Macaca mulatta: one gene and its partners. The protein of the gene in region 3 interacts with the protein of the main gene of each other region in a biochemical or structural test. Links are inferred from orthologs where the notes say so. Each region holds a gene or a part of one and is shown on either strand. Other genes may lie near its edges. The genes, in order: MAPK12, FRMPD4 and DLG1.

Region 1 (10,586 bases), on a different chromosome or scaffold from region 3:
CCTCCGTGTAGAAAGAGGGATACAGGCAAGACAGGTGCAGATGGACCCCCCATTCGGGGATGGATGGATCAGGCGCAGAGGTAGGGCATCCTTGGGGGTGGCGTGGGAAGTTGACTCTAGGTACACAGGGCTCAGCCCAACTTGGGACTGCCGATAGAAGTCAGCGCTCAGGCTGTCAAGGATGGGCCCTGCGCCCTGGAACCATGGGCAGTCAGGACTGGAGCCCAGGGTCTCAGCAGGAGCTCCCCACTCCCCCGGCTCCACCCCCAGAGCGGGGCAGTTCAGCCAAAGGGGAGAGGCTGACAGGGGTATCTCCGCGCCGCGTCCGGCCCTAGGTCGGAACAAAGCTGCGGGGCGGCGCTCCCCTCCCCCTGCGCTTCCCCCCAGGCTCCGGCCCTCCCCCGGCGGCGGCCGCCTCGGGTTTCCGGAGGGGCCGGAGGGCGGGCGAGGGCGTCACGTGCGCGCCGCCCGCGGGCCGGTTGGTCCCCGGGCGGGGGAGGGGCCGTGCGCTGCCTGGGTCGGGGTCGGGCCAGGGTCGGCACCTGGGACATCCCCGAGGGAAGGGCCGGGAACAGGAGCGTCCCAGCGGCGGGCGGGCGAGCAGCGCGGAGTCGGCCCGGGGCGCACGCCGAGGAAGCCCCGCCGATCCCAGGTCCCCGGTCCTGGGGCACCGCCCGCGGGCTCTGCGGGGTGGGCGGCTCCCGGGCCTGCCATGAGCTCTCCGCCGCCTGCCCGCAGTGGCTTTTACCGCCAGGAGGTGACTAAGACGGCCTGGGAGGTGCGCGCCGTGTACCGGGACCTGCAGCCCGTGGGCTCGGGCGCCTATGGCGCGGTGTGGTGAGCGCGGGGCGGCCGGCGGGGCGGGCGGGGCCTGCGCGGGGTGCCCGGCCTTCCCGCTAAGCGGTCCGCCCCGCAGCTCGGCCGTGGACAGCCGCACCGGCGCTAAGGTGGCCATCAAGAAGCTGTACCGGCCCTTCCAGTCGGAGCTGTTCGCCAAGCGCGCCTACCGCGAGCTGCGCCTGCTCAAGCACATGCGCCACGAGAACGTGAGTCGCGCGACCCCGCTCCGGGAAGGCGCCCCGGCCTCGGCTGGGTTCGGCTGGGCTGGGTCCCTCCACCCGGCAACCCCTTCCCCAGGCAACCTGCTGTGGGGCGGGGCGGGGGTCGGGCCGTGGGCCCCCAGGGGAGAAGGAGAGCAAGGAGACGACTCCCCCAAGGGCCATTCCCCCTCCTCTGCCAGGCCCGGGAAAGAGCCCCTTGACTTGGCGTCTCAGCCAGGCCCTGGTCAGGGGACACGACTTGGCCAGGCCCAGGGGATCCTCCAGGTCTCACGCCAAACCCTGCCCCCAGCCAGGAAGCCCGCGGTGAGAGGATGCTCCCGGCAGGAGGATTTTCCTGGAAGGGGCACCTTCTCTTTCCCATCCGGGCCCCTCTCCAGCCCCTCTGTGGAGCCCACTTTGTTGCTGTCCATCTCCCGAGTCTTCCGACCCGGTGGAGGGGGAGGAGGGGGGCGCCAGAACGTAGGGAGTATGGTGAACCCTGGGGGTGAGTGAAGGGTTCAGGGAGCTGCTGTTTGGGGGGCACTGGGCGTGGTGGTCATCTCACAGACACCCTCCCTTTCGTTGTGGGGGCCCATCCTTTCCAGTCCTGCCTGTGAGATGCCATGCACAGCTGCCCTGGGCCTCTCCCACGGAGTGGCTGGCTGCGAAGAGCCGGACTTCTCTGCCAGGGGCCCTCTGGTTTCTGGACACAGTCCCACTTGTCCACTGCCCCCCATGTCACTCCTGCCCTGCCCCTGGTCTGGGCCCAGCCTGAAGGCAGGTGGCCTGGGCGCCCGGACCCTAGCTCCAGTGTGAGATGCTCTGGACCCTCCTGGGTCATCCGAGCCACCGGTGCCCTGGGAGAATGAGTCCCTGCGTCCACCAGCAAACCACCCGCCCCCTGGTTCCTGGCCACCGCCACTCTCTCAGCCCCTTGGGTGGGTCCTTTTCTCTGAGGCTTCCCATAGCCCACCCTGACCCCAGCTCACCACCCCGGGCCCTGTGAAATCTGTTTGCGGTGGACACCAACCTTGCCCCCACCTCGACACCCCCGTCACACCCGGCCCTGCCCCCACCTTGCCACCACTGCACTCCCCCATCCCGCCCGTCACACCGAGACCTTGCCCCAGGACTGTAGCCTTCCCCTCGGCCCCCTGCCCCCACCCACCCACTCACTCACCTGCTTGGGCCTTGCCCCATCCAGCCAAGTGCTCTGGGGCTTTTCTTTCTTCTTTTTTTTTTTCTTTTGAGATGGAGTTTCGCTCTTGTTGCCCAGGCTGGAGTGCAATGGCATGATCTCGGCTCACCACAACCTTTGCCTCCTGGGTTCAAGTGATTCTCCTGCCTCAGCCTCCTGAGTAGCTGGGATTACAGGTCCATGCCACCATGCCTGGCTAATGCTTTGTATTTTTAGTAGAGACGGTGTTTCATTATTTTGGGCAGACTGGTCTCAAACCCCTGACCTCGAGTGATCCGCCTGCCTCGGCCTCCCAAAGTGCTGAGATTACAGGCCTGAACCACCGCGCCCGTCCACTGGGGCTTCTCTTTTTTGAGATGGGGTCTCCCTCTGTCGCCCAGGCTGGAGTGCAATGGCGCGATCTGTGACCTCCACCTCCTGGGTTCACACAATTCTCCTGCCTCAGCCTCTCTAGTAGCTGTGACTCTAGGCACCCACCACCACACCCGGCTAACTTTTTGTATTTTTAGTAGAGACAGAGTTTCACTATGTTGGCCAGGCTGGTCTTGAACTCCTGACCTCGTGATCCGCCTGCCTTCGCCTCCCAAATTGCTGGGAGTGCAGCCGTGACCCACCGCGCTGGGCTTTTCTTTAGCCACCGCCCTGCTGTCCTGGGGTCCCCGCTGTGCCTGGGGGTCCACCCCCTGGGCTCCCGGCCTGCAGCTGAGGCTCCTTCCCTGGAACCCCATCTTCCTGGAAGACTGAAGCTCTGTGAGGCCACATGCCTTGCTCAGCGGGGGAGGAGGCTCTGCCACAGGCCCCAGTCCTGCCATCCCCATGCCACCTCCCTCTCCAGGCCAGCCCCCACACCACAGAGGCCAAGCCAAGTCCTATGGCCCCTAGCCCACAGGACCCTGCTTTCCATCTTCTGCCAAAGCGCTCTCCTGGGCACCCTCCAGCTGTCGTGTCCACAGACCCCACTGTTCCCAGGCCTCCCTGGACGGGCCTCTGTTCCTTCTCCTCCTCCCTCCACATTCTTGCCCATGGCTCTGGCAGAGCTGTCCTTCCAGTTTAGGTCCATTCTTGCTTCACTCTGGCCAGTCCCTACACCACGGCCAGCAGGACGCGTTTAGCATCACACCCATTTAAATCCTTCCCTGTCTCTTGGGATCAAAGCCAAACTTTCACCTGGTGTGTGCTGCCCTGCCGGCTCCCTCTGGCCTCTCCTCAGCCCCTCCCTGGCCTGGGCCTTGGCCACCTGGCCTCCCTCCCTGTGTTCCTCAAACTCTCCCAAGTGTTCTCCCTCTTGCCTTGGCCACTCTGCATGTGCCCTCTGCCGGGTGTCCCGCAGCCCACATGTCTACCTGCCCCTCCATCCTTGGCTGTGCAGAACTTCTCCGGGCCTCCCTGGGACCCTGTCACCCCAAAATGCTGAGGCAGCAGTTATCACATGACCTGTCCACTGTCCATCTCCCCAACCAGGGGTGCTGTGGGGACCAGGTCTGGCGGGTCATGGTGCTGTCCACCTGGGCCTCACCAGCAGAGGCCTGGCCTCTCCTCATAGCACTATCCCTTCCCTGGGTGTCAGTCTGCTTGGTTGGGGAGAAGAGGGGAGAAAGGGGCAAGTGGTAGGAGCCCTTTGGATGGTTCAGAGCCAGCCCAGACTCCGGGTTGCCCTTCCCCCAGAAGATCCCGGCTGTCACCATCCAAAAATAACCTGTCTGTGGGTATGTGTGCCAGGGCTGGGCCACGCTGCCAGTGGGCAGAGCCAGGCCCTTTGGACAGTGGGGCATGACGACAGCTGCAGAGGGGGTTTCCTGCCCAGAGGGCTGTGCCACTCTTGGGGGGGGCCCCAGCCCGTGTCCTCCGCTGCACTCTCAACCCTACCTGGCCCCCCAGGTGATTGGGCTGCTGGATGTGTTCACTCCTGATGAGACCCTGGATGACTTCACAGACTTGTGAGTGCCGACCTGGGCTGGCTGCTGGGCACAAGGGGTGGTGGGCAGCTCTGGGCACTGGCTTCAGGTTCCAGGTTGGCATGGGGTTCTCTTCCTGTAGCCTGAGTGGGGGATGCACACTGCCAACCCCCCCCATACTACTCTGCCCCACACCCTCCCCCACATGGTCCTGGGACCCACAGCTGGGCAGAGCTGGGGCTGCTGCCTCCCTTCACGCCTGGCACCTGGGCTCTCCGGCACCGGAGGTGTGAACCTTGGACCTGACCATTAGTTAACAGGAAGGTCCCGTGCTCGGGACCCTGGCACCAAGTGTGTGGCCGGTAACTGGAGCTGCTGACCTTTCCCAGCAGGTGGGGGAGAAGCGGTAGGGAGGACCCACCCTGCCCTTGCCCTGCAGCCGACCACCCCGGGACTCACACCTTGTCGGCCAAGAGTGAAGGGCCAGGCTGAGGAAGGCCTGGAGAGGGTAGCAGATGTCTCCCGCCTGACTTGCAGAGGTCAAGGACCCACGCTGGCCTCAGTGGCCTCTGGGGAGGTGCTAAATACCATTCTCCTGTGTCCGTCTCCACCGGCTCAGCCAGCCCCTCTGACCCAGATGCCTTGCCTTGCCCCCATCGCCCCCAGGCACCTCCCTCATCTCTGGCACAAAGTTCCGAGGTTGAATCCTGACTGCCTCCCTCCCCTGCCTGTGAAGACTCGAGCCCTGCAGCCTCAGCCCCAGCCTGGCACGCAGGGCGCTTTAGCAGAGGGTTCAAAAACCCCAAAGGGAGGCCGGGGCGGTGGCTCAAGCCTGTAATCCCAGCACTTTGGGAGGCCGAGACGGGCGGATCACGAGGTCAGGAGATCGAGACCATCCTGGCTAACACGGTGAAACCCCGTCTCTACTAAAAAATACAAAAAACTAGCCAGGCGAGGTGGTGGGCGCCTGTAGTCCCAGGCTGAGGCTGAGGCAGGAGAATGGCATGAACTCGGGAGGCGGAGCTTGCAGTGAGCTGAGATCCAGCCACTGCACTCCAGCCTGGGGGACAGAGCTAGACTCCATCTCAAAAAAAGCAAAAACAAAAACCCCAAAGGGCAGCCTCCTGCCTGTCTGACAGTCCTCAGAGTGGGAGGGAGGTGTGAGCGTTGCTGGCAGTGACAGTTGGGGCAGGATGGAGCCTGGCACTGCAAGGTGGGGTTGTGAGGATGCCGAGGCTAGTGGAGACGGGTGCTGCAGGGTAACCTTCCCGGGGCCACCTGCTGGATCCCGGATGGGTCTGAGCCTGGGCCTGCTGGGTAGGCCTCTGGGATGCAGAGGCTGGCTCTGCCCACTGATGGTGCTCCGGCCCCTCCCACAGTTACCTGGTGATGCCATTCATGGGCACCGACCTGGGCAAGCTCATGAAACATGAGAAGCTGGGCGAGGACCGGATCCAGTTCCTCGTGTACCAGATGCTGAAGGGGCTGAGGGTATGGCCCCAGGGGAGGCTGCAGGGAGGCAGGCAGGGCCTCGGGGCTGGGCAGAGGAGGGCCCTGTGGCTCTGAGGCCCTGGTACGCTGAAACCTGCCGAATCTTCTGTCCCCGCAGTATATCCATGCTGCCGGCATCATCCACAGAGTGAGTCCTGGTGGAGGAGCCACCCATCAGCCCTCCCCCAGCGCAATCCCCCGCCTCCACGTCCTACCTGTGAGGGTCTGACAGGGTCTGGGGGGGCTGACGGGGTCTGGGGGTGCTGAGCCACGCCTCAGGCACAGCCCCTGGTGGGAGCCTGCCTGGATGCCCAGGTACCTGGGTCTGTCCTTGAAGGGCTGCAGGGAGCAAGGGGGCCAGGTCTGGTGGCCCCATTTTTAGGTGCCACCCAGGCTCTTGGCTGTGTCCATGCTCGGGAGGGTGGGGCACAGTGGCCACCTTTCCTCTGTCCCCAGGACCTGAAGCCTGGCAACCTGGCTGTGAACGAAGACTGTGAGCTGAAGGTGTGTGCCGCCTGGCAGGGGCCCCTCCGGATCTGCCCACCAATCCACCTGTCAGGCCTGGGCAGGGGGCCAAGGCCCCAGGCTCTGGGCAGTGGCTGAGGAGCTGGTGGGTGGGTGAGCCCCAGGAGGCAGTGGTATGCCACATGCCATACCTGCAGCGGGTGAGGGTGGGAGGCGCCCCCAGGCCCCTGCCTGGTCCAGGACAGGGCTGAGGCTTTGGTGGGCAGCAGGTGACAGCAGGGAGAGGGGAGCCCCAGGGCCCCTGCTCCATCCCAAGGGCAGCTGGGCTCGGTGCACTGGCCAAAGGGAGGAGCTTGCACAGTTTGGGGTCTGAGGGCTTGGCCTCAAGTCCTCAAAGGTTGTCAGGAGGCCCCAGCTTGGGGCTTCGAGTCCAACCCCGCTGGGGTCTCCTGGACCATGGGTGGCCTGTCCGCTCCTTGGGAGTCCCCTAGAACCCACCTCCCCGATTCTTCCCGCAGATCCTGGACTTTGGCCTGGCCAGGCAGGCAGACAGCGAGATGACTGGCTATGTGGTGACCCGGTGGTACCGGGCACCCGAGGTCATCTTGAATTGGATGCGCTACACGCAGACGGGTGAGAAGCTGCCTAGAGATTTGGGCCTCTCGGGCTGCTCCATCTGCTTCTCTACTTCTTCACTGAGAGCCCTGTGGTGGCTGCTCCCCAGGGAGGCTGTTGAGCTGGGGTGGGAGCCGGGTGGGTGGGCTGTGTCTGTGTTTCCTCCCTCCCCATCTCATCCCGTCCCCCTGCCCACGGGGCTGACCATGGCTTTTATCTCAGTGGACATCTGGTCTGTGGGGTGCATCATGGCGGAGATGATCACAGGCAAGACGCTGTTCAAAGGCAGCGACCGTATCCTCCAGCAGCACCAGGGGCGGGTGGGGATGGCTCCTGCCCAGGTGGGGGGTTCTGGGGGGGTGGGGATGGCTCCTGCCCAGGTGGGGGGTTCTGGGGTTGGGGATGGCTCCTGCCCAGGTGGGGGGTTCTGGGGGTTGAGGATGGCTCCTGCCCAGGTGGGGGGTTCTGGGGTTGGGGATGGCTCCTGCCCAGATGGGGGGTTCTGAGGGGGTGGGGATGGCTCCTGCGCAGGTGGGGGGTTCTGGGGGTTGGGGATGGCTCCTGCCCAGGTGGGGGCAGTGAGGGCCCTGATCTCTGGCCCCCCGAGCTGTGCTCCTGACCTCAGTGCAGACCTGGACCAGCTGAAGGAGATCATGAAAGTGACAGGGACGCCTCCAGCTGAGTTTGTGCAGCGGCTGCAGAGTGATGAGGTCAGTGGTGAGTGGGGAGCTGGGTGGGGGTGGGGGCGGACCCGGGCCTCGGTGTTGGCCCCTCACCCTTTCTTTCCACATAGGCCAAGAACTACATGAAGGGCCTCCCTGAGTTGGAGAAGAAGGATTTTGCCTCCATCCTGACCAATGCAAGCCCTCTAGGTAGGGCTGGCTAGTGTGGGGGCCACCAGGTGCTGGAGTGTGGGGCTTCCCGCAGTCTGGCCTGACGCACCTTCCCCCGCAGCTGTGAACCTCCTGGAGAAGATGCTGGTGCTGGATGCGGAGCAGCGGGTGACGGCAGCCGAGGCACTGGCCCATCCCTACTTCGAGTCCCTGCACGACACGGAAGATGAGCCCCAGGTCCAGAAGTATGACGACTCCTTTGATGACGTGGACCGCACGCTGGATGAATGGAAGCGTGAGCTGGGGGCTCCGGGCAGGGCCTGTGTGGACCCGAGTTGGGGGCTCTGGGCAGGGCCTGTGTGGACCTGTGAGTGGGGGGGCTCTGGGCAGGGCCTGTGTGGACCCGTGGGTGGCGGGCTTCGGGCAGGGCCTGTGTGGACCCTGTGGGCCCTGTGCAGGTAGCCAGGCTCCGAGTCCTAAATCCCCGTCCCTGGGATGCAGGTCAGGTGAGGAGAATGGGAGGTCAGAGGGCAGCATGGGGCCGCGTGGCCTGGTGGAAATGACCTCTGGCTGGAGCTGAAAGATGAAAGGAGGGTGTTCCTGGCAGGCTCAGCACAGAGGCTGGCACAGAAGGAGCCGGGAACGGTGAAGGGCAGCTGTGAGTCCGGGCAGCAGGGCCCACTGAGCCCCTCCTGGCCCCAGACCTGCTGCCCTTCCGCCATGTCCAGGCCAGAGACCCGGGCCACCGTGCCACCCTCACCATGTCCATTTGTCCCTAAGGCCTCTCTCCTCACATCTCGTGAATCTGTCCTTGCCTCTCCTTGCCCCAGGTGTTTTTTTTTTTTTTTGAGACAGTCTCGCTCTGTTGCTCAGGCTGGAGTGTGGTGGCATGATCTTGGCTCATTGCAAGCTCCGCCTCCCGGGTTCACGCCATTCTCCTGCCTTAGCCTCCCGAGTAGCTGGGACTACAGGTGCCCGCCACCACGCTCGGCTAACTTTTTGTAATTTTAGTAGAAATAGGGTTTCACCGTGTTAGCCAGGATGGTCTTGATCTCCTGACCCCATGATCCGCCCACCTCGGCCTCTCAAAGTGCTGGGATTATAGGCGTGAGCCACCGCGCCCGGCCCTCTCTTTGGTCCATTTTAGGATCCTTCCCATCTGGACAAGACATGTATGTCTTATATACGCAAGATAGTCCCCAGGGCCTCACCTGTCTCCCCCAGCCCCCCTGAGCAGTCCAGACCCCAACCCTAACTACTAGGGTCCATCATCCCCTATACCAGGGGCTATCCCCTCATCTTGGAGGGCTGGCCAAGGCCTGTGCAGCCTCAGGCTGAACTCAGGGAAGCCTCCCCAGCTCCCACAGCTATGCTGTGGCCTGAGGCTATGCTGGACCTGGCTTCATTTTTGCTCCAGAATGGCAGGCTGTGTCTTCTTCATGGCTGCATGACCAACCTGTGGTGGGGGTGCCCGGGGACAGCAGGTGGACACTGGGAGCAGTGCCGTGTTTCAGGCCCTGTCCTGGCTCTGCCTTGGGCGCAGGGCCTTGGTCCTCCACACTGGCTGGGTGGGGCTGGATGGACTGAGATTCTTCACCTGTGCTCCTTAGGGCCACGGGTCCCTGGGTGCCTGCAGCAGGGCCTCCACCCTTCGCTGTGTGTGCTTAGTTGTGTGCTTATGAGTTTGGCTTTGATTAAAGGTTTCTCCTGCTAAAAAGATAACTTGAAAACCATGGGCCATAGGATCCTCTCTGTAGTCTCCACCCACACAACTGTAGCTGGGGCCTCAGCTCTTAGGACAGACCGTGGTGGACACGTGGCCAAGCCCTGGCCACCTCCCCTTTCCCTGGAAAATCCGGATCTAGAGCAATGGCCTCTTCACACAAACCTTCTCTCAGTAGTTTGGACCACATTAGGATTAGAGAAGGGCCCCACGAGGCACCGCCAGGCGTGTCTGTGAGTGACACCCCAGGATGGAAGGCAAAGGCTGACCCTGGTTTCTGTTGTGCCCCCCGCCCCCGCCAGGTGTTACTTACAAAGAGGTGCTCAGCTTCAAGCCTCCCCGGCAGCTGGGAGCCAGGGTCTCCAAGGAGACGGCTCTGTGAAGATCTCTGAGCTCCAGGGTGGTAGTGAGGACCACCTTCACCTTCCACCTGAGAGGGGACCCTCGTTGCCACCTTGACCTTGGCTGGGGCTTGCATCCCAAGGCATCCGTCGGAGCAGACCCCTGGGTTCCATGGACCCTCCTCCCCATGCCCCTGCCTCTGCTCTCGGGTGCCCATCCTGGAGGAGCACCTGAACTTTCTGGACAGGACCTCTGGCCGACCTGGGGATGGCCTCTGATGCCTGGAGCCGGGGCCCCCTTGCCCGGTGCCCTCAGAAACCTCGGAGCTGGTGGGGCTCCAGGTCAGGCCCTGGCCTCTGAGCCCTGCCTGCTCTGGGCCATGCGGAGGAAGAACAGAGGGTGGGCGCAGGGCACCAACTCAGGGACATCCCTTCTCCTGGGCGACGTCACTGGACCTTCCTGCACCCCTGCCTGGAATGTAAATCAGCTGTGTGGCGCCCACGTGGCTGGAATGAAATAGACCCTTTTGTAGCTCCCTGCTCTGGCTGTGCGTCCTCATGCTGCGACCTGTCTTAAGGCCTCCAAGCCCTTGGCCTGCATGTAGAGGAGGCTGGCCTGATAGCTCAGACCCTCAGAGCCAGCTGGGGGGCCTGAGCATCCCATCTCTCCCAGGCCACAAAGCTGGTGCCCACTTCCCCAGACCTGTGCCAGTGAGCTTCGAACCCCCACATTAGGGCTTGGCCCCCTCCCCTTTTACAGGGTGACCTTCTGCTAATGGCTTAGAGTCTAAGCCACTGTGTGTGGATCCTGAAGCCAGACCCAGGGGCAGGGCCTGATGGGGAGAAATGTTAGGATCTACCCTAGCTCTCTGCACCCTCCAAGGCCAGCAGGTCCCTGGGGGGAGGGGGCACACTGAACACCTTGAGACCCCTCTGGCCCCTGTGGTGGAGTGGTGAGCACAGAGGGCTGGGTTTTGTTTTTGAT
Region 2 (10,686 bases), on a different chromosome or scaffold from region 3:
TGGTTGAGGCTATACAAGTAGTATCACCCATTCTTTTTCCATCCATTTTGAACTGGATGTTTATGGAAGGCAAACATCACCCTAACAAGCAACTCTCCAGCTCCCCAAAAATATCATGTCAACTTAGTGACCAAAGAATAAGCATGCATACTTTTTCCAAGTGCAACAAATTAGTAGAACAATTATGTCCACTTCTAACGGTCAGTTTCCAATAGTTCAAGAAGTAATTTGAGATCAGAAGTTTCAATAAAGATAAGGTCTATATTAATTGGTAATGTGCATTAGTGAATTCAAGTATTTATTATAATATACTCAATTTGACATGCGTGTGCCCACATGTGTGCTGATAACGATAAAGAAGAGAAAACAGGAAAAGGCATTGTTTAACCCAGGCAGGGGTCAGTTAACTTTTTCTGTAAAGAGCCAGAGAGTAAACATTTTAGGCTTTGTGGGCCATAAGGTCTCTGTGGCATCTATTCAACTTTGCTGTTGTCAGGCAAATGCAGCCATAGATAATACCTACATGAATGGACACGTGTTCCAATAAAACTTTATTTATGGACACTGAAATTTTAATTTCATATTATTCTTTTTTTGATATTTTTGAACCATTTGAAAATAAAGAAACTATATTTTGCTCACAGGCTATGCCATAACAGTCAGCAAGCCAGATTTGGCTCATAGGCCACAATGTGCCAACCTCTGTTTTAGCCTATTCATGATGTTCTTTTCCTGCTATGATTAGCTTTCAAGATTCAAGATCATTTGATGGTAATGGTGGTAGATTTCAGGATGGTATGCTTCAACAAAGGTTTTAAACGGTCTTGAGTTTTCTTACTGAGCCAAGTGTGAAACCAGTGGTTTCAAGTTCATTCCTTAAAGATACATTTCTAGTTCACCAATAATGTACATTCTCTTACAGCTAAACTTCCATGGTTAACCTCAAATGAAATAAAAAAGACTAAAGTTGAACAGTGTATGTGTATGTAAAGGGAGAGAATGAACAGCTGGAAGGACCATAAGCAGAAAGTGAGACTTTCCAGGTCATGCATTTAAAGTACAAGTAAGTTTCACTGCAGCTGTCAGTCTGTACCAAGTTCTGATAGCAAGAAGGTAAAACTTGCTTGCCCCAGACAATGAGAGAGAGAGAGAGAGAGAGAGAGAGAGAGAGAGAGAGAGAGAGAGAGAGAGATATGCTTGGAATGGAACAAAGCCTGACCTAGACGCCTTCTTCCCAGAACTGTGAGCGACTAGACTTTCACAGCTTCAAACTAGCAACCCTTGGGAAACTAGAGTTAAATATTCCTAAAACAGGAATCTAGTTCTGTTACGAAACTGTTCATTGTTTCACCTCCTGACAGCCACAAAAATCAGCAGAACTTAGAAAGGACTCAGAAGATGAGCAAGTAGCATTTTTAATAAAATTCAAATCCAGAGTCTTTGGGGGTTTTTCATTGCTAGCCTCCAGAGCTCACTATTATCAGCAATATTAATACAATTACTCAGTAAAAATAGCAGATACGGGAAAACCCTGACCTTTTGCACTACTTCTTTAACTTCCCCTTTTCCCTAGAAAATATTTAATTCTGAATAAGATAAAGGTAAAAGACAGAAGTTTAGTAGTATCTAAATGGATTTGACATAAAAATCTAAGGAAACTATACATATGTATTTTATATGTTTCCTCAAATATAAGATACTTGTAAGAAAATTAGTATTCTTTACTATGACAGATATTAGTCACTGCTATATACCACAAAATAACCCATGCAACTACAAGAAAATGCAAAATAAAGCATCCCCCAAATTTACCTACTACTGTAAGAAATCATCATATCAACAGTGGGGACTCAACCATTATCATCAAGTCTACCATTTTGCTTAAAGAAAAGAAGTCAAATCAGGGACTCTATCTATGAACATATCACTCAATTTAATAACATCCCTATGAGTTTTGGATCTCAAATCATCTCCCTCAGGCAAAAGGGGCATAATCATATGTTTTTCTACTGGGCTGCATTCTTCTATAAACATTTGAAAGAGTGCATCTGCTTTACAAATAAAATAGTCAATGCAAAGAGCAGTAACAATAAAAATATATGCCTGTTTTTATACTATTACTGGTTTATAAAGCAATCATCTGTAATGCTCTCATCTACAAGGATGGAAAATGATATAGAACTGTTACCAAGGAAACAGTGAAGTAAAACTGCATGTAAACTATCAAGCAGTTTAAGAACCAGAAAATTAGAAGAACGGAAAAAACCATCTTCAGATAGAACCATGACACACTGTGCCACCCACGAAGGATGCAATCAAGGGTCATAACTCTTACTGATGATGTAAAGGGTCCCAACTACTTGCCAGGAATTCTAACACTTGGCAGCAATTTGTTTTAATGGTAATGGGTTATTGAGGGGCAATGTGAATTCTGATTTTTCCCACGATTAAAAGGGCATAGAGTCTGGAAACAAATAGTTAAATGTAGACACTCTAAAAAGTCAAAATATGCAATTTATTTATTCCAGTGTCGATTAATATTCTCTTGGAATTCTCTGTAATTACACTGTCTGTACTCACAGATAGGACACTAAGCAAATATCACTTCCAAGATATGCCTTCTGAATTAACATTTAGAAACTCGAGTTTGTAGGAACCAAAGGCAAGGCCAGGACCCAGGGTAACTACATGTGTTTGCCTCTAAACCAAGAGAATTTTAAGCACTCAAGTAACCATGCTGATCAAAGCTAAATCCTTTAGGAAGATTATCCATTCTGAAATCAGGAAAATCCTGCAGTATAAGCACTTTTATACTTCACCTTTGAGAAAAGAACTTGATTTCTGTAACAGTGTTTAAAACGCATACAAGACTTTCTTCCTCCCAAGGCAGAAACAAGCAACTGCAAACATGTGTTTTTACGTGCTGATGACCCTCTAAAGGTATTTCTATCTCAGCTTGGGGACCATCCTTGAGCTCACACTAAGGAAAAAGAAGAATTATATGGATGGAAGATTTCTTAATCGGCACATCAGCTCAGAACATTTGCACCTTCTGTCTTTAGAATAAACACTCTACTGGATCACATTAAGGATAGAAAGTGAAACTCACATTCATTTACTAAATTTTAAACTCTTTTAAATAAGATACCACTCTCCCCACAACCTTGCTTGAGTTTTGCAAAAACTCAGATTTGTGAATATCATGTAGGCATCCTAGAATTTAGTAAAAAGAATATGAAACATCTTTTCACTGACACATGACACTGTGCTCTCCGAAGTTCCTAAGTTTAAGGACTAAACCAAGGCTCTAGATGTTTTGTTAAACTGTTTTTAGCATCTGAGGCCACAAAAAAGTATCCTGGTTACTTTGAACTATACTATTGGTTGAACTTCCCTTTCCCTTTAGCAGTAGCTCTGTCCATCACACAGAGGGTTCCACTCAGTCTCTAAACTTGCCCACAGCTGCTTCCCAACCATGGTTCATTATTTGACAGCTGTTTAGAAACTAGCCCTAGGCAGAAGCATGCAGGAAGTTAATAGAATAGTGGTGTGAAGCAATGGCCCTCTATGAGATCAGCTTGAAAGCAAATAATTTGCCACACCACAATCATCCACTGCTTAACACATCAGTCTTCCAATCTGTAGGACAACACCTCTTCCTGAGCTGCTCTAAGACCTATCAACGGTGTATCTCCAGTCTACTTAGAGTAAGTTGCACTGGGCCTTTCTCCCTGGGGAAATCTGCTAGTGGCATGAAGACCGGCCCATATTAGTAGAAAGGGAAGGTGGAGATGGGCAGGCAGAACAAAGACTGTAGATGTCAGAGAGAATGGCAACATCCAAACATAACCTTTCTGAAGTGGTCTAAATGTAATTTAACAAAGCAAAGTCAACATACGTTTCTACCTCGGACGATTGGAAGCTGCTCATCCCTGCCTGATGCAATCAACACATCTCACTCTGACACTCAGGACTGAAGGAAAACCTGGGATTGTTCTGTCCATATTGCAAGTAAGTTTTTAAGCTACATCCTGGAAAAACCCAACTGTCTACCTCCTACGTCCTGGTGGTAGCTGCTATAAAGAGCTCCAGGGGCAGAGAAGGTTGGGCATGGTTTTCTAAGACTGCTCCTATCGGGCTCTTCCCAGTTAATGTCACATAGCAAGAAGCACAGACCTTACTCTGTGGCTCAAATGAACACTTTGGAAGCATAAGCAGGCAGAAGACCTCGAGGAGTGCTCTGGCCAGGCAACACCTAGGCGGCCCAAGCGTGGAAATGTTCCTCCTTTATCAGTACTACGCAAAAATATCCGAATCGATGATTTAGTTTTAGCTACTGTTTTAACAACATGGCCACTTAGAAGAAAATTTCTAAATCTTTCGAGGCTTAAGAATATAGTCACACACACACACAAAGAAAAAGGCTGAAAGTCTTTCTCTTCTATCTCCATGACCTCATCATTTAGGTTACCATTGGGAGCACCTGGTCAACCTAGGCGCTAACTCTGTGGAGGTGTGGAGGTGTAATTTAGGAGTGGGGGGAAGGCGGCACTTTTGGTCTCTGCAGCTTGGAAGGCAGGCACCTAAGCTCCAAGCACTTCTGGGTTTCCCTAGCAGTAGCAATTACAACCACCTTCTCTTAGCCCTGAATGATACATGGGACCCCAAGCACCAGTGGGGCTTTTCCTTAGGGAAAACAAATGGTTGTGAATATCGGTGTGTTGGTGAGGGCATGTATGTACCTCTCTGTGTGTGGTCTACACCCGTGGCTACACAAGCCTCAGCAGCCAGTGAGAAATAAGTTGAATGTGTCAGCCCCCGGCCACTTCGTTTCAGTCTTAAGCCCCGTCGCGCTTTCCGGCTTTTGCCTCTACCCAGCCTCCCGAAAAATAAGGCACCAAGTTGCCCGCAGCAGCGGCCCTAGGTGCAAACGGAACCCGCGCAGCCCCTACCTCGAAAGCTTTGCAATCTTCACAAAGCTGAAGACATCCATGCAGGCAGCTGGGGACCCCCGAGCGCGACAACTCCGTCGCCCCTTCTCACGCCAGCAACAACAGCAGCCTCCGCAGCCCCATGGCCAAGACCTCAGTGCGCCCAGGGCTCCAGTCGCGGCGACAGCGGGTGGCGGCGGGGGCCGGAGAGAACCTGCACCTGGAGGCGGCGGCTGCTACCACCCTCCGGCCGCGAGCTGCGTGTGCATCCCCGAGCAGGACCATTGATGAGCACCCGCGGCAGGAAAACTCAATGGAGAGGGAGCCAGGCAGGGCGCAAGAGGCGGGGGCTGGGAGCGCGGCCCGGGTCTCGCGCCCCGCCCCGTGCGCTCTGGCCCCGGGTACTGCCGGGCGTCTAGAGAAAGCGAGGCCCGGGCGAGAGGCGCTGCTCTGGCTTCCCGGCCCTCGGACCCCAGTGCCCCGCGCACCAAGGAGCGCAGACGGAGCCGGGAAACGGGAGACAGCAGGCGAGCTGGGCACACGCGCACGCACCCCTCGCAGCACTGCAGCTGCCTCCCTGCCTCCTTCTCCAAGCCGAGTCCCTGCTCCTCTCCCCACCCCCACCAGCCCAGGGGGAGGGGGCACTCTCCTGTCACCCACTGCGTGTGCCTCCAGATCTGAAGGATCTGGTCTAACAGTCTATGGCACACTGGAGAACTGTGAACGCTAACCCTCCCTCCCCAAGCCGAAGGAGAACCGTGCAACCGCAGGTTGCCCAAAGCCTCGGTTTGCTCCGTAAACAAAACTAGCGATCGGAAGGAGCAGGGATGATAGAGGCTGGGTCGTTTGTCAAGGGGAAGGGAAGGGAGATGCCCGGCGCAGCGGGCTCGATTGGGGGAGCGCAGAGTTCCCACTGCTTCTCCCGAACCGCTGGGGCGAGACGTGACCACTGGGCTGGCTGGGAAGGTGTGTCTTTGGACAGCAGCACCGCGGGAGTGTCGGCCAAATAAGAACCGGAGGCATTTGCGGGTAGGGGGATGAACACAGCTGCTCCCTCCTCCAGGAGCATAGAGCAGAAGGTCCCAGGAGCCTGTGATGCAGAGGCTAATTCTAACCGGGCTCGGAATCTAAGGGAAGAGAAGGATTAGAATGGGGTCTGGCACGCAGAGCGAGCTGCTTTTGCAAACTGAGCGGTGGGAGAAGGGAACAAGGAAGAAAAAAAAAAAACAAAACAAAACCTAACAAAACCTTGCCTGAGAAGCAAAAACACAGAAACATAAACACTCACCTTAGGCAGAGTAAACTCCAAGTTGCAGCCATCTAGAACTCCTCCTAGCCTTCTCTTTTACATGATTACCTTGGATAATCAGCCCTGTTCATTAACTCAGTTCTACCTCCTGGGAAGCTCAGGCTTCATTGGGCCCCTTTTTCTTCTTCCTCTTGGAGTCTCAAGGCCTCTTGTCCACAATCCTTTAAAATTTCCCCCCAGACTGTGAAGGTCAGCTGGCCGCACTAAGTGTGTGCTCTCCCACCAGCAGCGTTCACCTGGCGGCAGGGCCACTGCAAAGAACAGAGAGCACCCCCAGAAATGTTGGAAGATCCAGCCAGTGTTCCAGTCTAGCTCTCCGAGGGGATTAAGTAAGAAATGGGTTTAAAGTTCCCACACTTCTGCTCCTCTCCTGGTCTGTTGTTATATTTAAAGTCTTCAGTATTCAAGCCTAGTACTAACGCGTTTTTTTTTAAGCATTTATTTCAAAAACTGAACATAAAATAAATAGCAATCTGCAAAATCTAACTGACTTAAAACTCAGGCATAAAATTATATTTTTTTGAATACATACTTATCAATTTTCCTGCAGCTTCTTTTAAATAGGCTAGTTTAATTGCATGAACGCAGTTACTACTCAAGGATCAGAAGAGGTGGGAGGGACCTTGGCTTTTGAACTCTGTTGTTTGTAAAATAATTATAGTTTGGATCTGCACTATGCTTTATAATTTTTAAAGCATTTTTTTTGCATTAGAGTCTCATAGCAACCCTGTCATATAAGTAAGGCAATACGTTTAGAAGAGAAATCTTTTATTTTTATGCCATAATCTATTCTCAACATACCAGACAAAAATGTGTGTGTGTGTCTGTGTGTTTTTTAACGTAGATCACATAATGTTACTTGTCTGATGTAAACTATGCAAAAGCTCTGCATTCTCGTCAAGCTGAAGTTGCACTCCTGCTAGGACCAATAAGACCCTACATCCCTTATCCTTTGATCTTTCTTACCTCAACTATTACTGCCCACTTCCCTCTCCCCTTTTTCCCCCGTCCCTCCTCATCCCCCACCCCAAGGCCCCCCTCCCTCACACACACACATACACTCACTGGGCTCCAGAAATTTTGGCCTCCTTGCTGTTCTTCAAACTCTACAGGTAATCTTCCCACTTTAGGATCTTTGCAATGGTTGTTCCCTCGGCCTGTAATGCTCTTTCCAGGAATATCTGCATGGCTGACTTCTCCACCCTGTCAAATCTATGCACCAATACCACTTCCAAAAATCCCCCTCTAAAAAGCCTATTTAAAATTGCAAAAGGCTCTCACATCCTGGACTCCAAGTGCCTATTAACTGTTTTATTCTTTTTTCTTGTTTCCATAGCACTTATCACCCACTAGCACACTATATAATTTATTTTTATCTTTAGGATTTCTTTCCTTTTTTTTTTTTTTTTTTTTTGTTTTTTTTGTTTTTGGTCTGAATCTCCCACTGGAGCTCCACAAGGGCTGGGATTTTTGTTTTGTTTTTGTTTTTCACTGATGGATCCCAAATGCCTAGACCACTTCCCCAGATGTAGAAGGAACTTAAGAAATATTTGTCGAATGAACAAATCGTATGCCCATTGGATTCACAGCCCAACCAAAGCTGGCCAAGCATCCCCAGTGAGTACTGATCTCTGTATGACTTCATGGCTTACGTCTGTCTCTCTCCCCACCCATCTACTTCCCCAGCATCCTTCAACCTCCTTTGGACTGACTGTTAATGATGGCAACAAAGGCCTTCTTAGATTCTCCAGTTATTTTCCCCCTTCACCTTTTCTACCTTTCCCCCAAGAGAGTGGCAACTGACACGTTCCCTCATCTCCGAGTCAACATCTGGCAGCACAAAACCAGCTCATGATTGGGAAAAGGAGATAAAAACAGTGCCTTTGGAGAATGTGTTTTGAAAAAGTTCTTCCTTCTGAGAACAGAACAGTTGGGATGCTCTTTTTAAAAGGATTACCCTATTTATCAATAATTATTCCAGATACCAAATAGCTAATTATTCAACAGTGAAAGTGACAGGAAATAGACATTGTGTTTACTTCTAGAGAGACAGCCTCCCTTCGAGACATCTGGTCTACCTGGAACAGCTTGCTGTTGGCCTTCTCCCTGTGCCAATTTGTACACTACAGTTATGAATGGTGCAGATGCCATCTCTCCACAGCATAATAGCTACCAAGGGAAATGACTGACTTCTCCAGGTCTTTACACATCTCTCATATAGTAATTATCTAGTATGTTTTCTAATGGATTGATATTGTTTTCTAAAACAAAGAGATTCCACCCCTCCTCCTTTGTTTCTCATTAATATAGCAATGGAAAAAGCTGCTCCCTTGAAACATGCTAACACAGAGTGTTTATATCTTTAAGCCATCTTGGCAGAAGGACGGAGATTGGAGTAGTTGGTCTCTCAGCTCTGTCCCCTCTCTGTGCCAGGTGTGTGCTGCAGAGGTTAGGATAGGTTTGCCTAGCATGAACTAGATCTGCCTAAAACAAATAAAAGCCAAAAAAGTGGGATCCTGAGTACATATGTGGTTTTCTGAAGTTTTCATATTAACCTGGATAATCTCTAAGGCCCCTTCTAGATCTTGTAGGGGTTTACTAGTTGGAAACTTAATCTACTTAATTTGCTTCACTTAGGTTCAAGTGACCTTTGGTCATTTCTGAAAACCAGACACTTTCAAACACTGTTGAAAGTACTCATGAACAAAAGATTCAGGCTCACCAGATCCAGAGCAAGTCCTATAACTTCTCTGAGACTCAGTTTCCTCAGCTGTAAAATGGAAATAATACATCTTTACCTTACACAAAATGAGCACTTGAAGTTGGCACCAGTTTACAGTTGGCTACATATGAGTTGAGGCACATGAATGTTAGCTCTAGAAGGATTTCTACAGCTGTCTGCAGCCTTGGCAGTACTGGTAGGAAAAGTTTCAGCCTATAAAATGACTATTTAGGAGGCCCAACATTTGCTTGGATTAATCAGAGGTGGGCGCTTTTGCCTAAAAATCAAACACTTTGTTGCCTGGGCAGTTACTAAAGCCCTAAGCTGTAATATCTTTTATGCCCCAGGGGATTATCAGGGGGAAGTGTGAGGAACTTCTTCATCATTGTTAAGGCCTTATCTAAAGCTGGTGTTAGGAATCTGCTATTGGGCCAGATGTTCCATATAGGTTGGCAGCTGAGGGTTCTTTTGCTGCAAATTACAGTAGAGAGAGCCCCAAGCATGTCTCAGCTGGACTGTAGCATCTCGACCATCTGGTCTCAGTCCTGAAAACAGAAGTAAATAAATAACAGCAAGGTATTCATTCAATCAGCAAATATTTATGGAGTGTTTCCCATGTACCAGGCACCATTGTAGGCACTGGGAAGTAGACTAGGCAACGAGGCAAGTTTCTGCTCTCATAGAACTTATAAAGAGGAGGTAGATGATAAACAACAAAATCAGAAATTGCAGTCAACAAGAAAATAGCAGATAGCAATGTGCAGAGAATTAAAATTCTTCTGATAGAAAGGGAGTGGCTAGGTGGCTATTTGTTATTCAGTGGTTCAGGAAGACTTCTATAAGGAGGTAACATTTAAACAGATATGAAGAATCTCATGGAGGCTATAGAGGCTGCCACACAAAATTCATATGGGAGAGTATTCCATGCAAAAGGAACGGCAAGGATAAAACAAGGATGTAGTCCTTGAGGCAGGAACAATGATTGTATGTTTGAAGAATCAGAAGGCAGCCAGTGTGACTGAAGAGTAATGCATTAAATGAAGTGAGAGTGAGTGAATTTGCAGGGGCAAGAAAGGTGAGATCACATGGGGCACAGTAGGCCAGTGTCAGCTGTCTGGCTGGTATAATGAGATGGGAGGCCATGTGAGGATTTTTAGCATGGAAGTGGCCAAATCTGACTTACGTTTTGAATGACCACTCTTGAGGAAGTGAGTGTGAGGGCAGGGAAATTACTGATTTAGGAGCCTGTTGCAAGAATCCAGACAAGAGCTGGCAGCAGCTCAGAGAGGACATGACAAGGAGGTGGTGAAAAGTAGCCAGGCTTAAGATATGTTTTGAACAGGAACAGTTGATGGGTTAGATGTAAGAGGTGGGGAAAGAGAGGAATAAGGGAAAAACTCATTTATTTTTATTATTTACGAAATACCCTGGTTTGGTCAGGCATGGTGGCTCATGCCTGTAATCCCAGCAGTTTGGGAGGCTGAGGTGGGAGGATCACTTGAGCCCAGGACTTTGAGGCTGCATTGAGCTCTGATTATGCTACTGTACTCCAGCCTGGGGAACAGAGTGAGACCCTATATGAAAAAAATAAAGAGAAGAAAAGAAGTGCCCTGCTTCCCTTCCCTAGATATAGAACATAAAAAAACCAGAAGGGTTTGGCTGGGTGCAGTGGCTCAGGCCTGAAATCCCAGCACTTTGGAAGGCTGACGTGGGAAAATTGCTTG
Region 3 (10,586 bases):
ATACTTTTTTTTTTTTTTTGAGATGGAGTCTTGCTCTGTCGCCCAGGCTGGAGTGCAGTGGCGCGATCTGGGCTCATTGCAAGCTCCGCCTCCCGTGTTCACGCCATTCTCTTGCCTCAGCCTCCTGAGTAGCTGGTACTACAGGCGCCTGCCACCATGCCCGGCTAATTTTCTTTTCATATTTTTAGTACAGACGGGGTTTCACCGTGTTAGCCAGGTTGGTCTCGATCTCCTGACCTCGTGATCCACCCACCTCGGCCTCCCAAAGTGCTGGGATTACAGGCCTGAGCCACCGCGCCCGGCCAACTGTGTTTTGTATACATCACTTTAGCCCTTATAACAATCCTGCAAGGTAGTCATTCAAATCCCATTTAAAACACGGCAAAATTAAGGGTCAGGTTAATCTCCACAAGAGAAGCTGGAAGAATTCTAAGCCTCTGATTCCAAAGGAAAAGGGAATTAGCTTTTAGAGTGTTCTATGTGCTAGTTCCCTTTATCTGTAATCTTACTGATCCTCAATAGATCTCCATTTTACAGATAAGTAAACAGTAAGAGGGATTATGTGACTTGCCCAAAGTTACATAAGTGGCAGAGTGGCATTCAAATCAAGCTGATTCCACAGCCCACATTCTTCACATCAGAGGGCACTGCTGCCAAAGTCAGCGAGAGGTATACTGTGCAATTCTGGAGGGAGACAAATGGAATCTTAAATATTAGACTTAACTATCAAATGCTCTACACTAGGGTCGGGAAAGTGACACCTGTGTTTTTCCTTGATACCTTTAAAACGCAACTTCTTCACTGTAATATCATAAATGTACCAACATTTAACAGCAGAAATTCAAACCTTCAGGGATTGAATAAACCACAAAATCCAGCTCTTAGAATGGGAGGAAAAGGAATTTGTATGGTAGGAAAACTATTTTCTAGGAGTCAGGAGTTAAAAGTTCTAATTCTGGCTCTGTCCCTGATTTGCAGTGTAACTTTGTTAAGACATAGGGATCTTTAGGCTTCTATTTTATCACATGTAAATTAAGAGTATTCAAGGCAGAGAATCTTAGAAGGTAACTGCTCTAATACGTTAGAAAACAATTTTTACTAATTACTAAAATTCCTTAATTGCCATCTTTGGAGTTTAAATACCATAGTGTTTAGCAAGTATTTGTTAACCAGAGTGTATTTTGCTGGAATGAGCTCTGCAGGCTTGCTTCCATTATTATTATTTGTTTTTGAGATGGAGTTTCTCTCGTTGCCCAGGCTGGAATGCAATGGTGCGATCTCGGCTCACTGCAACCTCTGCCTCCCGGGTTCAAGCGATTCTCCGGCCTCAGCCTCCCGAGTAGCTGGAATTACAGGCATGCGTTACCACGCCTGGCTAATTTTTTATTTTTAGTAGAGACAGGGTTTCTCCATGTTGGTCAGGCTGGTCTCGAACTCCCGACCTCAGGTGACACGTCTGCCTCGGCCTCCCAAAGTGCTGGGATTACAGGCGTGAGCCGCCGCGCCCGGCCTGCTTGCTTCCATTATTTATTGAAGAGCCCCAGGTAGTCACAGAACAGGAGAGCAACCAGACAGCGACAGCCAAGTCCAAGAGGCACTTTTCCTTTTGCCAACTTAAGGATATGAAGAGGCATGTTAACAAAGACAGCCTTTCAAAACATTTGAAACTGTATTATTCTCTGTGCATTACAATAATGGACTCTTTTCTTACAAACATTGTTTCAATTCTGGTTTTAAAGGATTATTTCTTGGCATGTCACCGTGGCAGGGGGAGGCTGACCTGTTTCCCACAAACAGTCTTTTCAGCTTTGACGGGAGTGACTTGTTCTATGGGTCTGTCCTTACTACTTGTATGACTTTGGGCAAGGATTTTCATCTAAGAGTCTTTCCTTATTTGTAAAGGACTGCTAAACTAATAATTTAAGTTACAGTTCTTTACACAGTACGGGGCGAAAAATGAGGCAGCCAAGTGTATTGGAAAGAATGTAGACTTGGGGCAGAGAGGCTTGGATCCAAATACTAAGCACTGCCACTTACTAGCTAAGTCATCTTGGGCAAGTGATTTAATGTAAACCTTATAGTGGGGCGAGTAACACCACCTTCTCTTTTTTTTTTTTTAATTAAGAGGTATGGGCCGGGTGCAGTGGCTCATGCCTGTAAGCACTTTGGGAGGCCGAGGGGGTGGATCACAAGGTCAGGAGTTCAAGACCAGCCTGATCAAGATGCTGAAACCCCGTCTCTACTAAATATACAAAAATTAGCCGGGTGTGGTGGTGGGCGCCTGTAATCCCAGCTAGTTCGGAGGCTGAGGCAGGAGAATCGCTTAAACTCGGGTGCCAGAGGTTGCAGTGAGCCAAGATCAAGCCAGTGCACTCCAGCTTGGGTGACAGAGCAAGACTTCGTCTCAAAACAAAAAAAACAAACAAAAAAAAACCCCACAAAAACAAAACAAAACAAAAACAAAAAACAAGATACTAAAGTGATACTAAAGTGGCTATTGCATAATACTCAGCAATTAGTAATCTCATTATTGATAATCCTGTACAAGCTAGAAAGCTGCACAATCATATATTCTTACAAAAAAATCACTTAACAAGGACATCCAGAAAACAATGTTGTGTAGATTTTAATACATAAATGGCATCCTTTTATAACCCACTTGATATTTTACAACATGTGACTATTTGGTAAATACTTCAAAACAGCTTATGCTGGGGTCTTGTAAGGCAATTTCTGAAGCTCTTGAGATTTTACAATAGTTTTCTTCTAGTATATTTCTATTTTGTTAACAACCTACAATATTTAGTGTAACAGCAATACTGTGTGTATTTCAATGTGTTAACATACTCTGTTGCCTAATGGCTCTTGAATTCAGTTATAAATTACATGATGCCTCAAATTGTTTCAAGAAAATGTTAGCTTGCAAAATATTTTTTTCTTTCAAAATTCAAGACACATTTAACATATGGATTTTACAATACAGTTTATTAGCTGTTCTCCTCTTCTTCATAAATGGAATGGATAATGTTGATAATTCTTTACAAACCAGTACTCATTTCTTTAAGAAACTGTAATGAGGAGGTTGTCAAAAACACATATTTAATAAACAACTCCAAAGAGCAATGGGAAGCCAAATATTATTATTAATATAAAGGACCAGAGAAACTGATTTCTGAAATAATTTCTACCTTTCACTAAAATTTCTTAAAATTGCTCACCATGAAGATTTGTGTAATTCTAGTGCAGAGCAGTGGATGAAGCTGTCTGAGGGGAAACACACATAAATGGGGCTTTTGCCTGCCTTCCTATTAATAAAAGGAGAACTAGAAGGAAAGGGCAAGGACCAGAATCAAACCTGATGACAAGAACAACAATAACAACAAGAAGAACAACAACAAAACCCCAGGAACCATTTGAAAACTTTTGTAGAAAAGAGGAGAATACGCCCATACTTTTACTTATAATCTAATTTCCCTAAATGTTTCTCCTCATGATCACCATGCCCCCATTTTCAGTTCACAGGATTAAGGAAGGTAAGTCTATTCAATTAATATTTAATTTAAAAACCAAACAAAAAGTTAGGAGTAGGTGGCAAAAGAAACAAAATATATTTTAAATATATATATATATATGTTTGTGTGTGTGCGCAACTATGTAAAGAAAATAATTCCCATAGTTACAGAGTTTAAAGAAAGTTTTATATATATATTTATATATATTTTATTATAACAAAATAGGCAGCTATTGTGGGTAAAATATTCAGTAAAATCTGACTCCTAAGAATACATTTTTAAGTTTTAGGCTATGAACTGGACTCCTTTCCATTGCCATTATGGTTTCTACATCACCACTGTAATGTCTGATTTATCTGTATTTATATCTAGGAAATTTTCTCAACCTTCTGTGTAAAAGGCGAACTTCCTTAGCACCTGAACATGGCCTCGATTCACAGAATGTGATGATCATTTACATATGAACAACTTTTGTAAGACACGATAGTGTTGCTCAAGTAGATTAAAAACATTAAAACGTTGTTATTCCTAGCAAATGTACTGGGAAAAAAGAACCTTCAAATAATAAAAGACTTTAAGAATGCTTAGGAAAAATGAAATCCCTTATGAAAGTTAACTCAGACATGAATTTTTAAATTAAAACATGTCTTCCTTATTTATCTATAATGAAACAATTGCTTTGATGATAGAAGCTGACTGAGAACAGGACTTGAGAGTAACACACTGGCCAAACCATGCTATTAAACTTAAGCGTGCATAGTTGCTCAAAGTCTACTAAATCACTGATTAAAACCACTTTTTCATTTGTACTGAAATTTGAAAAGAATGTATATAAAGCTTTTCCAAAAATCTCTTAAAGTTACTTTCCCTTAAACATTAAGGAATTTTACCACAATTTCTGCGTCTCCCCAAATTCTTAATAGCTGGTCAGGCCATTCCATCTTCAGTTGTGAAAAATGGCCACTAACCAATAGTGACATTAAATAATACACATGATGTAACTTGAAGGAGACACTACATGTAAAAAAATAAGCGCACCTGCAGACCATGATGTGGGATATAATTCAACATGAAATCATTATTGAAAAAAGACTCCAGAGGAAAGGGCAAAGAGATGTCAAAGAAAATGGAATTGTGGAAAAGAGAAATAGAGAAACATGAGTTTTCATAACTTTTCTTTTGCTGGAACCCAGATGTAAGAACCAGACTGTTCTTCTATGATCTGTTTCACTTGGTTGTAAATGTCTTCCAGCGTATCTCCCTGTACAATAGCTGTAACGATAGAAACAAAATCAGAAATCTCCATTAATTGTCTATTTTGTCATTACAATTATTGGTGAAATAGCAGAAACGAATATCTTTGAGAAAGTTACTCATCCAGGAAGAATCACCATTTACGCACTGTTCACTTAGAAAAAACGGCTCACTTCATTAATTTTCCTACCTGTACAGTATACAATTTTTATCTTAAAAATGGATCAAAAAGTAAGATTTGGTGATCTTTTGTTCTTTTACCATCTGAGCATATATTAGCTTTATTATTTTAAAACAAATTATTTTCTTAACTGTCCTGATTTCTCCATCACCATGTAGGACAAAGGAAACTGGCTACAATCCCACAGACAGGATGATGCAGGATAATGTTTTGTTTTATTTTTTTGGGGTAGGATCGTGGCAGAAAAGAGCTGGCTACAGATTGATGCTACTTGTTTCAGTTAAGCTGGCACGTCAGTTACTGTAGAGTAGGTGAATTACCTCAGCCAGCTTGTTAGTGTTTAGAGACTTAACAATCAATGTTTATTTGCTGCCTGAAATAATGTGTGAAAAAAAGAGTAACAATTACTAATAAGTAATTCTTTGGAAATAGCTGAAGCCCCTGAGGTCTGTGAGGGATGAGGGTCAGTTAACAAAGCAAGCAAGCAAACAAACAAAAACAAAGTATCGCTAGACAGCACTAAGCATGAGTCACTTTTTAAGAGGAAAGAAAATGTTTATGGCTGGGCATGGTGGCTCATGCCTGCAATCCCAGCACTTTGGGAGGCTGAAGTGGAGGGTTGCTTGAGGCTAGGAGTTTGAGATCAGCCTGGGGAACATAGTGAGACACTGTGTCCAAAAAAAAAAAAAAAAAAAAAAAATGAGCCGGGCATGGTGGTGTGTGCCTGTGGTCCTGGCTACGCGGGAGGCTGAGGGAGCAGGACGATTTCTCGAGCCCAGAGTTCACATCTGCAGTGAGCTATGATCGTACCATTGGATCGTACCATTTGCCTGGGTGACAAAGTGAAACCCTGTTTCTCACAAAAGAAGTTTACATATAAATGAAATAATTCAGAATTGCAAATTAAATAAGTCACTTATTAAACTACAAAAAAATCCCCAGTGATCTTGGAAGAGCATCATAGGTGTAGATTTCCATGGTCTGAAAAACTGAGCATAAAATGTCGAAGGGAGGTTTTAAATAATACTGTCTATTTGGTACCCGAGATTATGTGCATAGAAGAAAGAAGTTATATATAGGTAAGAAGGGCTTATACGTAGCTAGGAATGCCTGAGTAAACAAGAATTTTAAGTAACATAATATTCGCTAGTATCAGTTTTGTGAGACTTCTACCTTTTGAACTAAATACAGACATGCCTCAGTGTCCCTGAAGACTCAGTTCAATTGACAAAATACTTGGTTTGTGGGTTTGGCATCTTGATGCACTCCAACAGCACAGGACAGAATCCCAGAGCATTTCATAGTTTAGGTTGACAACAGCACGCAAGGATTTATTTTAGGAGAAAAGAGTCAGGAATTGACTTGGGAAATATATATTTTGCTTACTTTGTAAATTCATGAATGGCATGGTTAGTAAACCAGGATACTCCTTGGGAAGAAACTGGGAGAGCATAAGGCTGCAGACACCTTAACCATGTGATTAAAATTAGCATAACAAGCAACGGCACAAGCAGACCGTAAACCTCCTTGTATGACACACAGAGGATACATCATTACTTCACTGCTATTCCTGCCCCAAATGCACAACCTAAATCTAATTATGAGAAAACGTCAGATAAATCCAAATTGAGGGAGGACATTTTATAAAAGAGTGGGTCTCTGGCCAGGTGCGGTGGCTCACGCCTGTAATCCACCACTGCGGGAGGCCAAGGTGAAGGTGGGCGGATCAGAGGAGTTACAGACCAGCCTGGGCCAGGTGCAGTGGCTCACGCCTGTAATCCACCACTGTGGGAGGCCAAGGTGAAGGTGGGCGGATCAGAGGAGTTACAGACCAGCCTGGGCCAGGTGCAGTGGCTCACGCCTGTAATCCACCACTGTGGGAGGCCAAGGTGAAGGTGGGCGGATCAGAGGAGTTACAGACCAGCCTGGGCCAGGTGCAGTGGCTCACGCCTGTAATCCACCACTGTGGGAGGCCAAGGTGAAGGTGGGCGGATCAGAGGAGTTACAGACCAGCCTGGGCCACGTGCAGTGGCTCACGCCTGTAATCCACCACTGTGGGAGGCCAAGGTGAAGGTGGGCGGATCAGAGGAGTTACAGACCAGCCTGGGCCAGGTGCAGTGGCTCACGCCTGTAATCCCACCACCACGGGAGGCCAAGGTGAAGGTGGGCGGATCAGAGGAGTCACAGACCAGCCTGGGCCAGGTGCGGTGGCTCACGCCTGTAATCCCACCACTGCGGGAGGCCAAGGTGAAGGTGGGCGGATCAGAGGAGTTACAGACCAGCCTGGGCAACATGGCGGAATCCTGTCTCTACAAAAAATACAAAAATTAGCCGGGCATGTTGGCTGCAGCCTGTAGTCCCAGCTCCTTGGGAGGCGGAGGTAGGAGGATCACTTGAGCCTGGGAGGTGGAGGCTCCGGTGAACTGAGATTGCACCACTGCACTCCAGCCTGGGCGACAGAGTGAGACCCTGGCTCAAAAAACAAAACAAAACAAACGAAACAGAAAAAACAACAAAAAACCCCCCTAGTTTTTACTCTTAAAAAATGTCAGTCAAGGTCATGAGTGACAAGACTTGGGAACTATTTCAGATTAAAGAACGTTAAAGATGTGTAATTCACTGGAACACGTGAGCCTGAACTGCATCTTGCACTGGAACAGAAAAACCATTTTGTTCCCATTTTGCTCTAAAGAGATTAGAAGAATAGTGAAATAATAATAAGATCTATAGTTAGATGAGACATAATTATTAAATTTCCTGATTTTGGTAATAAAACTATGATTATATAAGGGCATATCCCTGTTTTTTGGAAAATACACACTGAAATATTTGGAAGTAAAGGGGCATCTACCTGAAACTTACCCTCAAGTGCTTCAGAAAAAATTATAAATGTGGTAAAATGTTAACACTTGAGGAATTTGGGTGAAGGGTACATGAGACTCCCTGTACTATTCTTCTAACTTCTATTTAAGTCTGAAATTAGTTTGAAAAAAATAAGAAAGCACAAGGCTTACAAAAACCATGACCCTTACTGATACTCACTGTGAATGTCAAATTTAGGCTGATATTATTTCAAACAAACAAGTAACAACAACAAAAATGTCCAAAGACTTGAGGAGTCAGTTAAAGGACAAACTGAGTAAGAAAAGAATATTGGGGAATTGCTACCTACTCTTTTTTTTTTTTTAAACAAATAGTATTTCAAAACGGATCAAAGGGCAACTAATCTTTGACAAGGGGCCAAGAACACACAATGGGGAAAGGCTAGTGTTTTAAATACATGGTGTTGGAAAATCTGGATATCCACATGCAAGAGAATGAAATTAAACCCTTATCTTACACAAAATTAACTTGAAATAGATTAAATACTTAAATGTAAAACCAGAAACCATAAAACTCCTAGAAGAAAACAGGGAAAAAAGCTCCTTGACACTGGTCTTGGATGATTTTTGGAAAGTACAAGCAGCAAAATAAAAAAATCATCAAGTGGGACATCAAATAAAAAATCTACACAGCAAAGGAACAATCAACAAAATGAAAAGGCAACCTATGGAAGAGGAGAAAATATTTCTAAACCATGCAGTTGATAAGGGGTTAATATCCAAAATATATAAGAAACTCATTAGCAAAATACCAAACAATCCATTTTAAAAACGGGCAAAGGACTGGAATAGATATTTATCCAAAGAAGACATACAGATGGCCAACAGGTATCAGTAAAAGTGCTCAACCTCTTTAGTCATCAGAGGAATAGAAATCAAAATCATGAGGCCGGGCGCAGCGGCTCACGCCTGCCATCCTAACACTTTGGGAGGCTGAGGTGGGTGGATACTTGAGGCCAGGAGTTTGAGACCAGGCTGGCCAACATGGCAAAACCCTGTCTCTACTAAAAACACAAAAATTAGCCGAGTGTGGTGGTGCGTGCCTGTAATCCCAGCTATTCAGGAGGCTGAGGCACGAGAATCACTTGAACCCAGGAGGCAGAGGTTGCAGTGAGCTGAGATCATGCCACAGCCTGGGTGACACAGCAAGACTGACACACACACACACACACACACACCACAGCCTGGGTGACACAGCAAGACTGACACACACACACACACACACACACACACACACCACAGCCTGGGTGACACAGCAAGACTGACACACACACACACACACACACGCACACACCACAGCCTGGGTGACACAGCAAGACTGACACACACACACACACCACAGCCTGGGTGACACAGCAAGACTGACACACACACACACACACACACACACACACACACACACAGCAAGACACACACACACACACACACACACACACACACACACACACACACACACACACACACACACACACACACACACACACACACACACACCCCATAATGAAATATCCCCTTAGACCTGGTTGGATGGCTGTTATCAAAAAGATAAGAGATAACAAGTAGGCAATGGCATGGAGAAAAGGGAACCCCATACACTGTTGGTGGAATGTAAATGAGTAAAGCCATCATAGAATGTAAATGAGTAAAGCCATCATAGAATGTAAATGAGTAAAGCCATCATAGAAAACAGTGTGGACATTTCTCGAAAAAAAATTTTTTTTTTTGAGACGGAGTTTCGCTCTTGTTGCCTAGGTTGGAGTAAAATGGCGTGATCTCGGCTCACCGCAACCTCCGCCTCCTGGGTTCAAGCAATTCTCCTGCCCCAGCCTGCCAAGTAGTTGGCATTACAAGCATGCACCACCACACCTGGCTAATTTTGTATTTTTAGTAGAGATGGGGGTTTCTCCATGTTGGTCAGGCTGGTCTCGGACTCCCAACCTCAGGTGATCCGCCCACCTTGACCTCCCAAAATGCTGGGATTACAGGCATGAGCCACCGTGCCCGGTCACCTCAAAAAATTAAAGACTGAACTATTATATGACCTAGCAATCCCACTACTGGGTATATATATCCAAAGGAAAGGAAATTGGGCCAGGCGTGGTGGCTCACGCCTGTAATTCCAGCACTTTGGGAGGCTGAGGCAGGCGGATCACTTGAGGTCAGGAGTTTGAGACCAGCCTGGCCAACCCTGTCTCTACTAAAAATACAAAAATTAGCTGGGTGTGGTGGCATGTGCCTCTAGTCCCCACTACTTGGGAGGCTAAGGCAGGAGAATCAGCTGAACCCAGGACGCGACAGTTGCAGTGAGCCGAGATCACACCACTGCATTCCAGCCTGGGCAACAGAGCGAGACTGTCTCAAAACAAAACAATAAAAACAAACAAACAAAAAGCCAACAACAACAAACCCAAAGGAAAAGAAATGGGTATGTTGAAGAGAAATCTGCAGTCCTATGTCCACTGCAACATAATCAACAATAGCCAAGATAGGAAAATAACCTAAGAGTCTCTCAAAAGATGAATGAGCCAGGCCCGGTGGCTCACGCCTGTAATCCCAGCACTTTGGGAGGCCGAGGCGGGCAGATCACCTGAGGTCAGGAGTTTGAGACCAGCCTGACCAACATGGTGAAACCCTGTCTCTACTAAAAATACAAAATTAGCCGGGCGTGGTAGCACATGCCTGTAATCCCAGCTACTCAGGAGGCTGAGGCAGGAGAATTGCTTGAACCTGGGAGGTTGTGGTGAGCTGAGATCACGC

The links.
Region 1: the proteins of DLG1 (region 3) and MAPK12 interact in a test that uses a peptide from one of them, tested with the Homo sapiens proteins (2 studies listed by IntAct, with this or other methods). The link is inferred for Macaca mulatta from reciprocal best matches to the Homo sapiens genes DLG1 and MAPK12.
Region 2: the proteins of DLG1 (region 3) and FRMPD4 interact in a test that uses a peptide from one of them, tested with the Homo sapiens proteins (2 studies listed by IntAct, with this or other methods). The link is inferred for Macaca mulatta from reciprocal best matches to the Homo sapiens genes DLG1 and FRMPD4.

What each region holds. Positions count from the first base shown.
Region 1 is NC_133415.1:1,186,043-1,196,628, forward strand, and holds MAPK12 (mitogen-activated protein kinase 12), read left to right. Parts: upstream 1-440; 5' UTR 441-712; coding exon 713-837; intron 838-916; coding exon 917-1,046; intron 1,047-4,116; coding exon 4,117-4,175; intron 4,176-5,512; coding exon 5,513-5,624; intron 5,625-5,742; coding exon 5,743-5,841; intron 5,842-6,080; coding exon 6,081-6,128; intron 6,129-6,607; coding exon 6,608-6,722; intron 6,723-6,926; coding exon 6,927-6,998; intron 6,999-7,334; coding exon 7,335-7,414; intron 7,415-7,497; coding exon 7,498-7,576; intron 7,577-7,658; coding exon 7,659-7,832; intron 7,833-9,562; coding exon 9,563-9,642; 3' UTR 9,643-10,140; downstream 10,141-10,586. UniProt on the Homo sapiens protein: Serine/threonine kinase which acts as an essential component of the MAP kinase signal transduction pathway.
Region 2 is NC_133426.1:11,754,878-11,765,563, reverse strand, and holds the start of FRMPD4 (FERM and PDZ domain-containing protein 4), read right to left. Parts: upstream 5,497-10,686; 5' UTR 4,994-5,496; coding exon 4,953-4,993; intron 1-4,952. UniProt on the Homo sapiens protein: Positive regulator of dendritic spine morphogenesis and density. Required for the maintenance of excitatory synaptic transmission. Binds phosphatidylinositol 4,5-bisphosphate.
Region 3 is NC_133407.1:2,594,636-2,605,221, forward strand, and holds the end of DLG1 (disks large homolog 1), read right to left. Parts: intron 4,785-10,586; coding exon 4,678-4,784; 3' UTR 3,927-4,677; downstream 1-3,926. UniProt on the Homo sapiens protein: Essential multidomain scaffolding protein required for normal development. Recruits channels, receptors and signaling molecules to discrete plasma membrane domains in polarized cells.